Linked DNA regions of Yarrowia lipolytica. The protein of the gene in region 2 binds, or shares a complex with, the protein of the main gene of each other region. Links are inferred from orthologs where the notes say so. Each region holds a gene or a part of one and is shown on either strand. Other genes may lie near its edges.

Region 1 (2,972 bases), on a different chromosome or scaffold from region 2:
CTCTCCAGTGCGCCACCCGCGCCGATAACGGAGCGACTGCGGAGCGGGGTCGCTCGCTGTGACGCTTTGACCTCGCTTGGCATGGTCTGCATCCTGAGTATCCCAGTGCTTTTGAGACGCTCGGAGGATTCCTCATACTTGCCGTTGCGGCCGCGTATTTTGGGTTTTTGCATTTTGACTTTGTTGCATCCTATTTTTTACGTCGGTTTTTGACACACTTTATTTTGGGCCCTTAGTTGTGCTTTGTAGTCGTTGGGGAGCTGTTTCGAGCTGTTAGAAGACGGAATTTTCACTGGAGACCCCCACTTTCCCCCCGAGTTCACTCCGTCGGCTTTTTGGTCCTCCATTGTCCCCCACGGAGACCGTTACTGACAAGCTTATGACTCTTATCTAGCGTCGGAACAGCCGTGTGCGATCCGGCGACTGAGCACCGTCTTCCCAAAGTGTGATTTACGAGCCGTGACTTTATCTCCATTATACGACAGTGGCTCCGCCACCGGCTCCACCTCTAGAATGTTACCACCACCGGCACGAGTTGACGCTTCTACATCTCCAGTTTTCCACACCCGATTTGCGATGACCAATCACTTGGCGCAGCCTCTTGTCTCTTGCGGATACCGTTCCCGATTAGACGGACCAACTGCACGTAAACTGGGTTTCTGGGTGGCCCTTGTTCGGCGTTTCGTTGCTGCAGAAAGACAAGACGAAATCTGAAAAAATCTGAAAAACTACACCTCCCACCTGTGAACTAACGCGGCAGTGAGAATGACCATGATATAGCAATTTCGGAGTAGATACGACGAAAAAACATAGAGAAGGAACCCCGCCACCATTAACGCGACCACTCAAACAACCTCTATACCCTCCATGATAGCCCCCATGGCACCTCGGGTACAGTACGTCACATAAAACCGTGTCCTCTCCCCTCGCCTTGGCTAACATCTCCTCTCCTGCCTCACCAATGTCTTACCCAGCCAAATGGAGGCCGCATTTCTGAGGCGTCAGAATTAATTTGGTGCTATTAATCACTGATGATAGGTGGACTTGGCCTGGTACAAATTCCGATATTTAAAAGGGGGTGACTGGTTGCAATTTTTTTATGTATATATTATATATATACATTACAGTATATATACAACAATATATATACAGTATATATATTTTTATATTAGCTTGTTTGTCTCGTTTTTTTTTTTCCTCCCCCATATTCTAAAATAAGAATCCAACAACAAAACACACAAAGGCAGGTTTAAAAAAGGTCGATTAACTGGATTTTTTGGTTCTAAAAAAAGACGGACCCTCTCCAACATAAAAGAAACCTGCAACTCTTCCTGACCAAAAAAAAAAAAAAAAAAAAAAAAAAAAAAGGAAATCCAACATATTACGAGTACGAGTATGAGTACTTAACCATCTCACAAAAATCGATTGCCATTCTCCGTCGAGATCATGACCCAGTTCTAAATGTATCAACAGACAATCTTAAGGCGTCAAATACAACTGACCGACTGGAGTATAAGTTGGTGATTAGCTAATCAAAAGACACCAACAACAATACCATTGCACTCAGAACAGAACCCCGATGTATTCCATCAATATCCATCTTTTATATCTCTCAGCTCTCCTGAAGTTATCGATCCAGCTATGAGGATCATTTTCCTTCCAACAGCTTCATTTGGACCACAAAACAATGACGTGGCATCAGAAGGGCTTCTTCACAGGCCATCAGCTCATTTCTCAGTTCATCTCCTCCTGGAAGCTCTCGTATTCATACTTGTACTTGTACTACTGTCTATCGCCATACTCCCGAATAAAGTTGCTTACTCATCTCCTCCCACAACCCTCATCCCGCTCAAATTAACGTTCGAAAATTTCACACACCATCACGAATCAACATGTCACAGACTATTGGTAAAGTGAGTATTTGAGCGGCGGAAGCAGGTGTCTTCTGAGCAAATCGTCAACATACCCTTGTTTTCTTACTAACCCAGGCACGTCTGGCTTTTTCCAGAACCTGGCACTTTGTGGACGTGGCCAAGGAGCAGCGAACCCTTGGTCGACTGGCCACCTCCATCGCCCAGACTCTCCAGGGTAAACACAAGCCCGTGTACAACACCGGCCACGACTGCGGCGACTATGTGGTTGTCGTGAACGCCGACAAGCTGCGATTTTCGGGCTCCAAGCTGCAGCAGAAGGAATACTTTGTGCAGTCGTCTCAGCCTGGTCACTCTCACCATGTGGCTGTCAAGCGAGTGATTGAGAACCAGGGAGTCAGCGAGGTTCTGCGACGAACCGTTGCCGGTATGCTGCCCCGAAACAAGCTCAAGCGGGGCCGAATCGCCCGGCTCAAGGTCTTTGAGGGCACCGAGCATCCCTACAAGCAGAACCTCGTGGCCTACCATGACGAGGCTGGCGTTGTGGTCAAGAAGGATTAAATGGAGGAAACGGAACTTTGTATATAGAGCATAAGAATGTTGATATGACTTAAACGGGGCGGAATAGGGTGTGTTGGAGCTCTGGTCTGGGCTTAGGAGCAGTAGGTGATCCCTTGAACTTGTACCGGAACTTGTAGCCAACTGGGGTGTTTGAAGTATCACGTGAGCATTTGTAATAACATACAATGGTTCTGTTGCTGTTCCTGCTATACAGTACTTATCAACTATAGTATCATCGCCTCTGGATGGTTTGACATGTTATAGCGTCTCAGATCAGACTTCAGACGATGGGTATTAGTAATACGTGAGCACGGACACAACAAGAAGCAGTTAATTATACAAGAGAAGAGAAGTAGACAGATTTTGATAGGGGCAATCGATTAGTCAGCGTCTAATAATACTACCCCTCTATTCCTTTCATCCTCATTCGTTCTAGGGCACAATGTACTCGGTTCTTTCAAAATCGGGTTGCTCACATCATGGGTTTAAGTTGCAACCCAATCGCTTCATTATCACCATCACCAATGTCGGTCGAGCCGA
Region 2 (2,916 bases):
CCCTGGCTTTGTCTGTGATGGGTAGATTCGCACAGTGCGTCACATTTCCCTTTCTGCCATGCTCTTGAAACTGATCCTCAGTGGGCTCTGCACCTATCTTCTCAAGAATCAAGTCGTATGCCACAGATCGCCATTTCCTGCCAGCATCAAATGCGTATTCGGCTTCCTCGGGCTCGCATAGAATCTGTAGAAATGTATATAGCTGGCCATAGTCGAACCACGCATTTGCCACTCGGTGCGCGTTGTTCTCATTTGTATTTGATAGCAGCCTGTATACCCGTGATGCATGCTCATCTTGGATGTAATCCTGTGCCGACCCGAAACTGAACCTCTGTAGAATGGCCATTTGAGACTCGGCAAACTTCTTGTACCCCACATCGTCCTTCAACCACACTTTTAAGCTTAGTGAATTCCATGGCTCCATACCCTGCTAGACTAGGACACAGATCGAACCGCTCCTTGAGAACTTTGGCAGGGTTCAGGGTATTGATGACACCTGCGTCGATTCCAAACACAGACGTGTTGAGGATGACAACATTGTCGGGAAAGTCAAACGCACAGAAATCCGTGTCGTTCGTCATGACGTAGGTTGGCTTACCAGGGTTCTGTGTAGCATAGTTGTACACCAGAGTGGCGAGTATATCATCGCATTCACCGGGGGCAATTCGACAAGAAATGTCTGGAAACTCTGTCAGAATGGTATCTGAACACACATCTGCGCATCCTGCTGGGAGACAGAACGACTTTGCCTCTATTCCTTCTTTGACTCGGATATCTCGTCGTCTCTCAGTCTCTTTGAACTTTGATAATGGAGTCAATCCATCGAACAGAATCATCTCGATTTTCCACCCGGCTAGAAGCCACTTTCTGAGCACGACTTCCATGTGACACCTCACTGCCCTAAGATCGTACTTGGCACCAGGCATACATCGTTCAGTCACCATATGGCTCATGGAGTGACCATCGATGAAGACCCGGCCATCGGCAAACTCCTTCAGCTGTTTGCGCACATAGAGCGACTTCAATTGCGTATAGTATCCAGGAATACCCATCTACAATTGGGCCTTGGTATGAGTAATGGGTATGAAGTACTGGTCTCAGATGAGATAGAGTGTGAAGTGAAGGTTCTCTCCACATATGTATGTACCTACTGTCTACTGTATCGTGTGTTTAGAAGATGCAGGTGTGTCTGAGTTGTTATAGGGGTTTAACAACGTGGCGGAAGAGCCAGATACCTGATTAAACACTAATAGCGGGCATGTTCTTAAGACTGAAAAAAAGTCAGTACAAGTAGTCAGAGTTGGTCGCACATCAAATGCTTACTAATCAGTATGGTATTTACTTACAGCGGTATGAGGTATTTAGGAGTGTCATTCAAGTGTCTTGCACAAATATTTCAGATGTGAAAACTGGGAAATATACTGATGAGAAGCAGAAATTTGGATTTCCTCAAAGAAATTTACCCCTTTTCTCACAAAAACACCCTCAAATTGACCACCGTTCGTACATTCGGTATGGTCTAAAATAAAGTTGCAAATTTACACTACGGTGTGTAGGTTGAAAAATCGAGCATCCGACATAGGTACAAAACACCACCCACAATGAACGCGCTTATGAAGAAGTGGACCAGCCTGGTTGTTCCCACGGGAACCCGGTCGTACTCGTCCATGGTCATGACTAAGCTCAAGGACATCAACCACAAGAACAACCAGAAGGTGGGTCGAGGTGTGCAGTCTGGGCGAGGTAAGACCTCCAAGCGAGGACAGAAGGGTCAGAAGTCCCGAGAAAGTATTCCTCTGGGTTTCTCCGGTCACCAGCAGCGATGGTATCTGCGATACCCCAAGCTGTCCATTCCTCGACGTGAGAAGTTTGTCGGAGTGTCTGTTTCCGACATTCAGAAGTGGATCAACGATGGCCGACTTGATGCCTCTAAGCCCCTGGGCGTTCGAGACCTGGTTCTGTCTGGTCTGTGCTCTTCCAAGCTCGGAATCAAGATTTTCGCCCGACGAGACGTGCCTCTCACCGCAAAGATCGACCTGACTTCCAACAAGGCCTCCCAGGCTGCTATTGAGCAGATCGAGGCTGCCGGAGGCAAGTTCACCGCCAAGTACTACTCGCCCGTGGGTCTCAAGATCGAGCTCAACGAGAAGCGACTGCTCGACAAGACTGGTCGAATCCCCAAGCAGCCCCATCCTCTGCGGCGAAAGGACGTGGAGTACTACATGAACCCCGAGAACCGAGGCTACCTGGTGGGCTACGAGCGACCCAAGTACACCAAGACCGCCGTCAAGCGAACTACCAAGCCCGGCTGGGAAGAGCGAATCAAGACTCTCAAGGATTCCAGCTCCAACGTGGCTTCCGGTTTCAACAACAACGGAATCGAGGTCTTGTAAAACGAATGTATATAGTATATGATATTGATAACGGAAAGGAGAAGGAGTAATGCTACGGGAATAGTATTAGCACGTTGGGGCTTGAGTCTCTCATATGTATAGCCTGACTGGGGTTGTTTCATATAGACCTTGTACCAGTCTCAGCGTGCAGTCGTAAGACATTGGACACCACACTCTGACAAATACAAACAACGAACGGATTTAGAATATGCGTCACATTTTACAGCCACTTAGCTCACGATACAATTTGTGAGTACAAGTACTCTCGCACCATCGCACTCTTTCCAATTCACCTACAGCTGGATCATTATCCGCCTAGCCAATCATGAGCCAACCTTACCGATTATTAATGTACATACTGTACAAGCACATTCTGTATTTGAAGATTAATAATGTTACATGCATAGCCTTTTTGGTATCGATTCCATCTTCCCCCACTCTAGTTCAGCTTGGGCACCTTTCCTTGAGCAGCCCAATACTCTCGTCGCTTCTGGAGCAGGTTATCAGCCAGCTCAGATACCTC
Region 3 (3,078 bases), on a different chromosome or scaffold from region 2:
TTAAGGTTTGAGATGAGGCTCAGCCTTACTGTCAGCCGTGCATGTTTAATTTCTAGACAAAGGAACGTGTGGTCACATGACGTTTTTCAAATGCCGAACCACGCGGTCTCCAACGATCCTTGTGGTCAAAATACTGCGGTTTTCAGGCGACAAAAAGAAAATTGAAACTTGCACCGACACTAGTGACACAGAACCAGTGGCCCCATGTCTGAAATACGCTGGCTCGTCCCGGGGATCGTTTCAAAAGGACGTGTTTCTGTGTTTCTGAGGGTTGCTAATCCGGGGTAAATAGTCTCCCTTTTAGATTCCCCTTTAGATTCCCTCTTTGCTCCGTATCACAAGACACAACATGGGCTGACAGCACCCAAAAGAGGTTCAGCAAACACACGATAATTACGAGTGTCGTGGTTGTGGACCCATTGTTTTGTGTCGGACGAGACGTTTGTGGTGGTCTTGATGGAGTTTGTGGTGGTTATCATCTCCCAGATTTTTTGCGTCGTCATCTCTCTGGGGTTTCTCCGTTATGTTCTTGCTCAGTCTTCCTTGATACACCAGTTGGTGTCTTAGGTCTCTTTACCACGCCTTTGCCACTGGATATCATGCATCCGGACAGTTGGCAAACCTCATGTGATGGTCGCGTATTATCACGTCTGCAAAGATATATAAAGACATGGGTCCCCTCCCCCCTCTATCTTTCCGTAACACACGATGCGAAATACCAACACTACCAACATGAACCACGACCCACCGGTGAGACGCTCCGGAACATGCACCCTGTGTATGGACAAGGTGTACATTGACGAGCTGTACACTCATCGCAAGATCTGTAAACCTGACGATACGGAAATGATTCTGGCCGATAAGCAGTCTGAAGAAAACCTCGCAAGGCAGTACTACCTGCATCCCACCTATTCACAACAGCAAAGATGGTGGGGAAGTTTCGTGCCCCATTTGTGGTGTCAGTAACCTGGCAGCACTAGCTGAGAAGCTGCTGTGAGATGTGAGCTAATCATACATGCTGACCTCCTTGTCCTCAAGATTTAACATAGCTCACACCTGGAACCTCCGCTACATACACTGTCGTGAATTCCAGATACTAATTACGAATACGAGTACGAATACGAGTACGAGTAGCTACCGAACAAGTATGCCCGTGTTCAATCACTCATGAGAAATGAAAACGAGAAAAATATAATGAAAAATACGATAATATTATTGATGAATACAAAATCAGTTGTATATACCCCAAGTACAGTAGCAACCATTGGTTTAGGACCTTCATATACCAGTACATACATCTACAGACAAAGACAGCGACCATAGATATGGTAAGAGCACTTGTATTGTCATGTGGGGGAACGGTATAGTTGTCCTAATCAATCTGAGATTCATTATGAACAGATTTCTAGTATTTATCCTCCTTTTTCTATGTATAATTGTTAGAAATATTCTATGCAGAAGTTGTCCGAAATGTACTATCGATAACCATCATGTGCATGTACAAGTACACTGTACAAGATGTATCATACGAGAATGTACTGTACCGATACTTGTAGTCATTATAGATATCCCACTCGAGGTTTTTGTTTATGTCGTGTAAAGGTCTCATTATCGCTTGGATCAGTCCGATACCAGATCATCTCTCACTCCTGGTCTTCGTTAGTTAGCTTCACTGTACTTGGACTCTAGTTGAATACCTCGTCTATCAACATTACAACAAGTCACTCAAATCAGCTCCAGTAAACTCAAATATTTCCAAGAAAATTGTATGCCCATTTTTCCCTTTCATTTTACACCCCTTTTTACAACTTCTACTCCTCTGGCACCGGTATTCCAACATTTCCCACAAGACACCACCGAGAATCGAACTCACCACCCTCTCACATTTCACCCCCCAAGCAGTCGTCCCTTCTCAGGTCCCAAACCTTATCCACTTACCCTACATGAAATTTTCACACAAGCACAGATACACACTCACGTTGCAGAGTTCCACAAACAGCACACCCACCATGTTTGGCCGTCTTTTCACCCGGCAATTGTCGTACCAGCAGCGCCGAATCCCCCGCTCGGCGATTCTGCAGGGTCCCGTGACTCTGGACGTTTTGGCCAAGGACTCGACCCGTCCTTATGGTCTGTCCGAATCCAAAAAGGAGATTGATGCTCTGAAATCGTCCCTGTCGGACTCCGTCAGCGGCCTGGAGGACTCTCTGCTGCTCCAGGTGCTCACACACAAGTCCTTTGCTGGCGGACTGCCCTCTCACAACGAAAAACTGGCGTTTGTGGGCCGAAAGTTTTTCCCAGTCTCGGTTCTCTCTCACAACCTGTCCAAGGAGGCCTCAAGCGACCCCGTCAAGGCTCTGGAGTCGCTCAACTTTGATCTGTCTGGGTTTGCCGCAAAAAACGGCCTCGAAAAACTCGTCTACTGGAACACCAAGGGAGTCACGAACGCCACTCCTTCATCAAAGATCACCAGCGGATCCGTCTACGCCCTGGTGGGCGCTATTCTCCTCAAGAAGGGCGAGAAGGCCGCCCATGAGTTCGCCCAGAAGGTGGTCCAGCAGAATTAAACTTGTATATATGAGGGGATGCACACCAACCAACCAAGTGTGAAGCACATAGCAAATGTGAATGATGAATGCATTGAATGAACAATCAAAGCCAACCAGCAAACGAGCGTGGATAGAGACACAGCCAGATCAGTAGGTATGAGTGTCAGATCGGCAGGTCGATGTGTTGTAATACAAGAGGGTAGGAGCATCACCAGATTACTATCGAACATACTGTAGTAAGAGAACGCATATACCAAAAGGATCCTTCCAAAGCAACATATAACCTGAATCGCAATGTCAGCAGAAGATGTCCCCACTGCCATAGAGGTGGATCGATAGTCTACCTGTAGTATTGGTGCACGTGACCTAGGTCAGACTGAGATGTCACGTACAAGAATTGAGACGCAGAATCACACACAAGGTAGCCTCGGCAATATCACTAATTATCACCTAAGTGATTTCCGCAAGATCAACAGAGTCATTTGTGGCCCGCGTTTCTTTCATCAACAGCTACTGAGAGGTTCGATAT
Region 4 (2,538 bases), on a different chromosome or scaffold from region 2:
AGGGATAGGTGGCGGAGACCAAGTTGAGCTGTAACACAGGGGATTGGGAAGGGCGTGTGAGACTTTGTCTCATAAAATGGAGGAGGTCTGACGTTGGTTGGTATGGGGTGGAGATGACATTTTGAGGGCATACGACGATAGCTATGAGATTCTCTACTTGATCAAACACCGTCTTCTAGAACGGAACCTCAAGTTGATACAAACAAGAGTTGCTCCTTATCTCGAAATAGCACTTTGACATGTTATTTCTGGATGGCTGAATCTATGATGGAGTACAATAGTGACGAAGTAAGATAGTGATGAAGTATGGAGGCAAGCTCTATCCCCACAGAACAAGTACATACGGTACAAGTATTCGTACGAGTGCTGTAACTACATCTGTGACAACATTCATTCATTATCTATAATCATCGATAAATTACTTTCTTGGGCTTACTTGTACTCGCACTACAACCACTCCTTGTTTCCAAGCTACCCATCCCACACTACAGCTTGTGAATACCAAACATTTAAATACTATATACAAGCCATGGTTACGGTACGGGTACGGTAAGCACAGATTACAAGACTCGGGGAGCCAGAGAAGCGACCTTGGTGAAGCCTCGCTCTCGCACCTCCTTGGCAACGACTCCGTTGAGTCGGTTACCCACGGGCTCGTTGGCGTCGTTGATCAGCACACAGGCGTTGTCATCAAACTGGATGTAGGAGCCGTCGGGTCGTCGGATCTCCTTCTTGGTTCGCACAATGACAGCCCGCTTGATTTCACCCTTTCGGGCCTTCTGGGTGATGGAAGAGCCGTTAGGAATGGGTCGGGCCCGCTTGACGACACAAACAATCTTGTCGCCGACACCGGCGTAGTTCTTGGGTGACTTTCGCAGCACCTTGATGCACTCGACCAGCAGAGCACCAGAGTTGTCGATGCAGTTGATCAGAGACTTGAGGTACAACATGGTGAGTGAGGTTGTGTGTAGTTGTGTTAGATCCTAACTGAGATGTTGAAATCTGGGTGAAAAGTTGGATTCTCGAAACCTTAAATGACAGTGTGTATGAGCAGAGCATATGACTAAGGAGGGCGACAATTAGCGGAGCCCTGGAAGAGGATTAGGTCATGTGAGTTTTTTCCAGGTATTAATAATATAAAGCGCCTATTGAATATAATTGCCTGTTGAGATTGTGGGTTTGTCACTTAAATGGGGATGAGATCCATAAGTGAGATGTATGCTAAGAATTTGGGAAAAGAGTTGGCCAAAAAAAGTGGAACTTTGTTACAGTATTGTAGAGATCAGAAACATGAAGGAGTATGATACAGCATGGGTTCCAGACATGCTGGAGATAGGCTGTAAAATACATTGAGTACCAATTGGTCAGCTGAATTGATCCCGCTTACTAAAATTCAACCAATATACCTAACAAGTGGTTCCACTATCATATACTGGAACGTGCCAGCTATGTCAAGCTGGTACAAGTACGAGTACAGTATGTACAGTACCTGTAGCGCAGCTAAGCCACCGGAGCCGACGACACTCTTGCATCTCAAATATCTAAATCTCCACGGAACCAATCACTCTTGGTGATCATGATGTCATTGTAGGGTGTGTAAGTGTTTTCAGTACGAAGGGAAACGCCAGACACTAACTACAAGTACTGTACTTGTAGTGTTTCTGCTTCAGTTATCTCGCCTCGTTCTCTCTCAGCCCACGTGACTTGAAATACAGCCTCGGAATCCAGCGCCAATCAATCCTCAGCTCGACCAAACCCCGCGCCACGCGTAGATCACGTTAGTACAAGCGCATTTCATTTTACACGAATCTCGCAGTGCGTAAATACAGTTCGGAGCTTGTGAAGCCATGTCAACAACCAATAGTTGGGGTTGTATATAGGCGCGAGGGTAGATGACGTGAACAGCTTGCTTATAGGGTACTGTCAAATCCTCCGGGAGTATCTCTGATCTTCTTCCATATCACCTCAAACCCCTGACCATGTATGCTGTATGCTGTTTTCTCATTCCACTGTGTCTGACATCCACTCATATTTGCTGTGTTGGGAGAGCCAGCCAACCTTGTTTGCTTATCCCTGTTTTTCCAACTCAGCCTGTGGGCCTGTTTTTTCCAGAATTTAAACACACATTCCATGTGTAAATAGAGTGACTTGCGAGGTGATCGAGATATGGAATTGATGTATGGCACGTCCGCTGGATCGCAGAATTGCAATGGATCTATATCAGAGCACGTGCCATTGCTCCATAAAGACCAAAAGTGGACACTTTACCAGCGCGCCATTTATTTTAGCGGCTCTAAAAAGGACCCCCCTCCCTCTTCCGTGTCTCTCGGTTAGCTCATTGCTTACCAAAAGGGTAGCCAAGCAATAGTTCATGTAATGTGAACAGGTGGATTTATGCGCATGTTGCAGCGTACTGTGACATTTTCTCAAGGGGGCCGAAGAGGGTGTTTCGGGGACCAAAAAGAGGCGGGAAAGTCGCTGGATTAATCACGTGACCACGAACTTGGGTGGTGCCTTCTCAAATCCCCGCTCGATCAC

The links.
Region 1: YALI1_E00318g (region 2) and YALI1_D12750g share a complex: the UniProt entries of both Schizosaccharomyces pombe proteins name them as parts of the mitochondrial large ribosomal subunit. The link is inferred for Yarrowia lipolytica from reciprocal best matches to the Schizosaccharomyces pombe genes mrpl10 and mrpl23.
Region 3: YALI1_E00318g (region 2) and YALI1_F09896g share a complex: the UniProt entries of both Schizosaccharomyces pombe proteins name them as parts of the mitochondrial large ribosomal subunit. The link is inferred for Yarrowia lipolytica from reciprocal best matches to the Schizosaccharomyces pombe genes mrpl10 and mrpl15.
Region 4: YALI1_E00318g (region 2) and YALI1_F23351g share a complex: the UniProt entries of both Schizosaccharomyces pombe proteins name them as parts of the mitochondrial large ribosomal subunit. The link is inferred for Yarrowia lipolytica from reciprocal best matches to the Schizosaccharomyces pombe genes mrpl10 and mrpl38.

The regions. Positions count from the first base shown.
Region 1 is NC_090773.1:1,273,166-1,276,137, forward strand, and holds YALI1_D12750g (mitochondrial 54S ribosomal protein uL13m), read left to right. Parts: upstream 1-1,892; coding exon 1,893-1,913; intron 1,914-1,988; coding exon 1,989-2,432; downstream 2,433-2,972. Other genes in the region: YALI1_D12760g (uncharacterized protein), read left to right, coding at 2,912-2,972. UniProt on the Schizosaccharomyces pombe protein: Component of the mitochondrial ribosome (mitoribosome), a dedicated translation machinery responsible for the synthesis of mitochondrial genome-encoded proteins, including at least some of the essential transmembrane subunits of the mitochondrial respiratory chain.
Region 2 is NC_090774.1:30,249-33,164, forward strand, and holds YALI1_E00318g (uncharacterized protein), read left to right. Parts: upstream 1-1,601; coding exon 1,602-2,393; downstream 2,394-2,916. Other genes in the region: YALI1_E00306g (uncharacterized protein), read right to left, coding at 1-424; YALI1_E00337g (uncharacterized protein), read right to left, coding at 2,833-2,916. UniProt on the Schizosaccharomyces pombe protein: Component of the mitochondrial ribosome (mitoribosome), a dedicated translation machinery responsible for the synthesis of mitochondrial genome-encoded proteins, including at least some of the essential transmembrane subunits of the mitochondrial respiratory chain.
Region 3 is NC_090775.1:987,684-990,761, forward strand, and holds YALI1_F09896g (mitochondrial 54S ribosomal protein mL57), read left to right. Parts: upstream 1-1,943; coding exon 1,944-2,567; downstream 2,568-3,078. UniProt on the Schizosaccharomyces pombe protein: Component of the mitochondrial ribosome (mitoribosome), a dedicated translation machinery responsible for the synthesis of mitochondrial genome-encoded proteins, including at least some of the essential transmembrane subunits of the mitochondrial respiratory chain.
Region 4 is NC_090775.1:2,333,535-2,336,072, reverse strand, and holds YALI1_F23351g (mitochondrial 54S ribosomal protein uL14m), read right to left. Parts: upstream 951-2,538; coding exon 561-950; downstream 1-560. UniProt on the Schizosaccharomyces pombe protein: Component of the mitochondrial ribosome (mitoribosome), a dedicated translation machinery responsible for the synthesis of mitochondrial genome-encoded proteins, including at least some of the essential transmembrane subunits of the mitochondrial respiratory chain.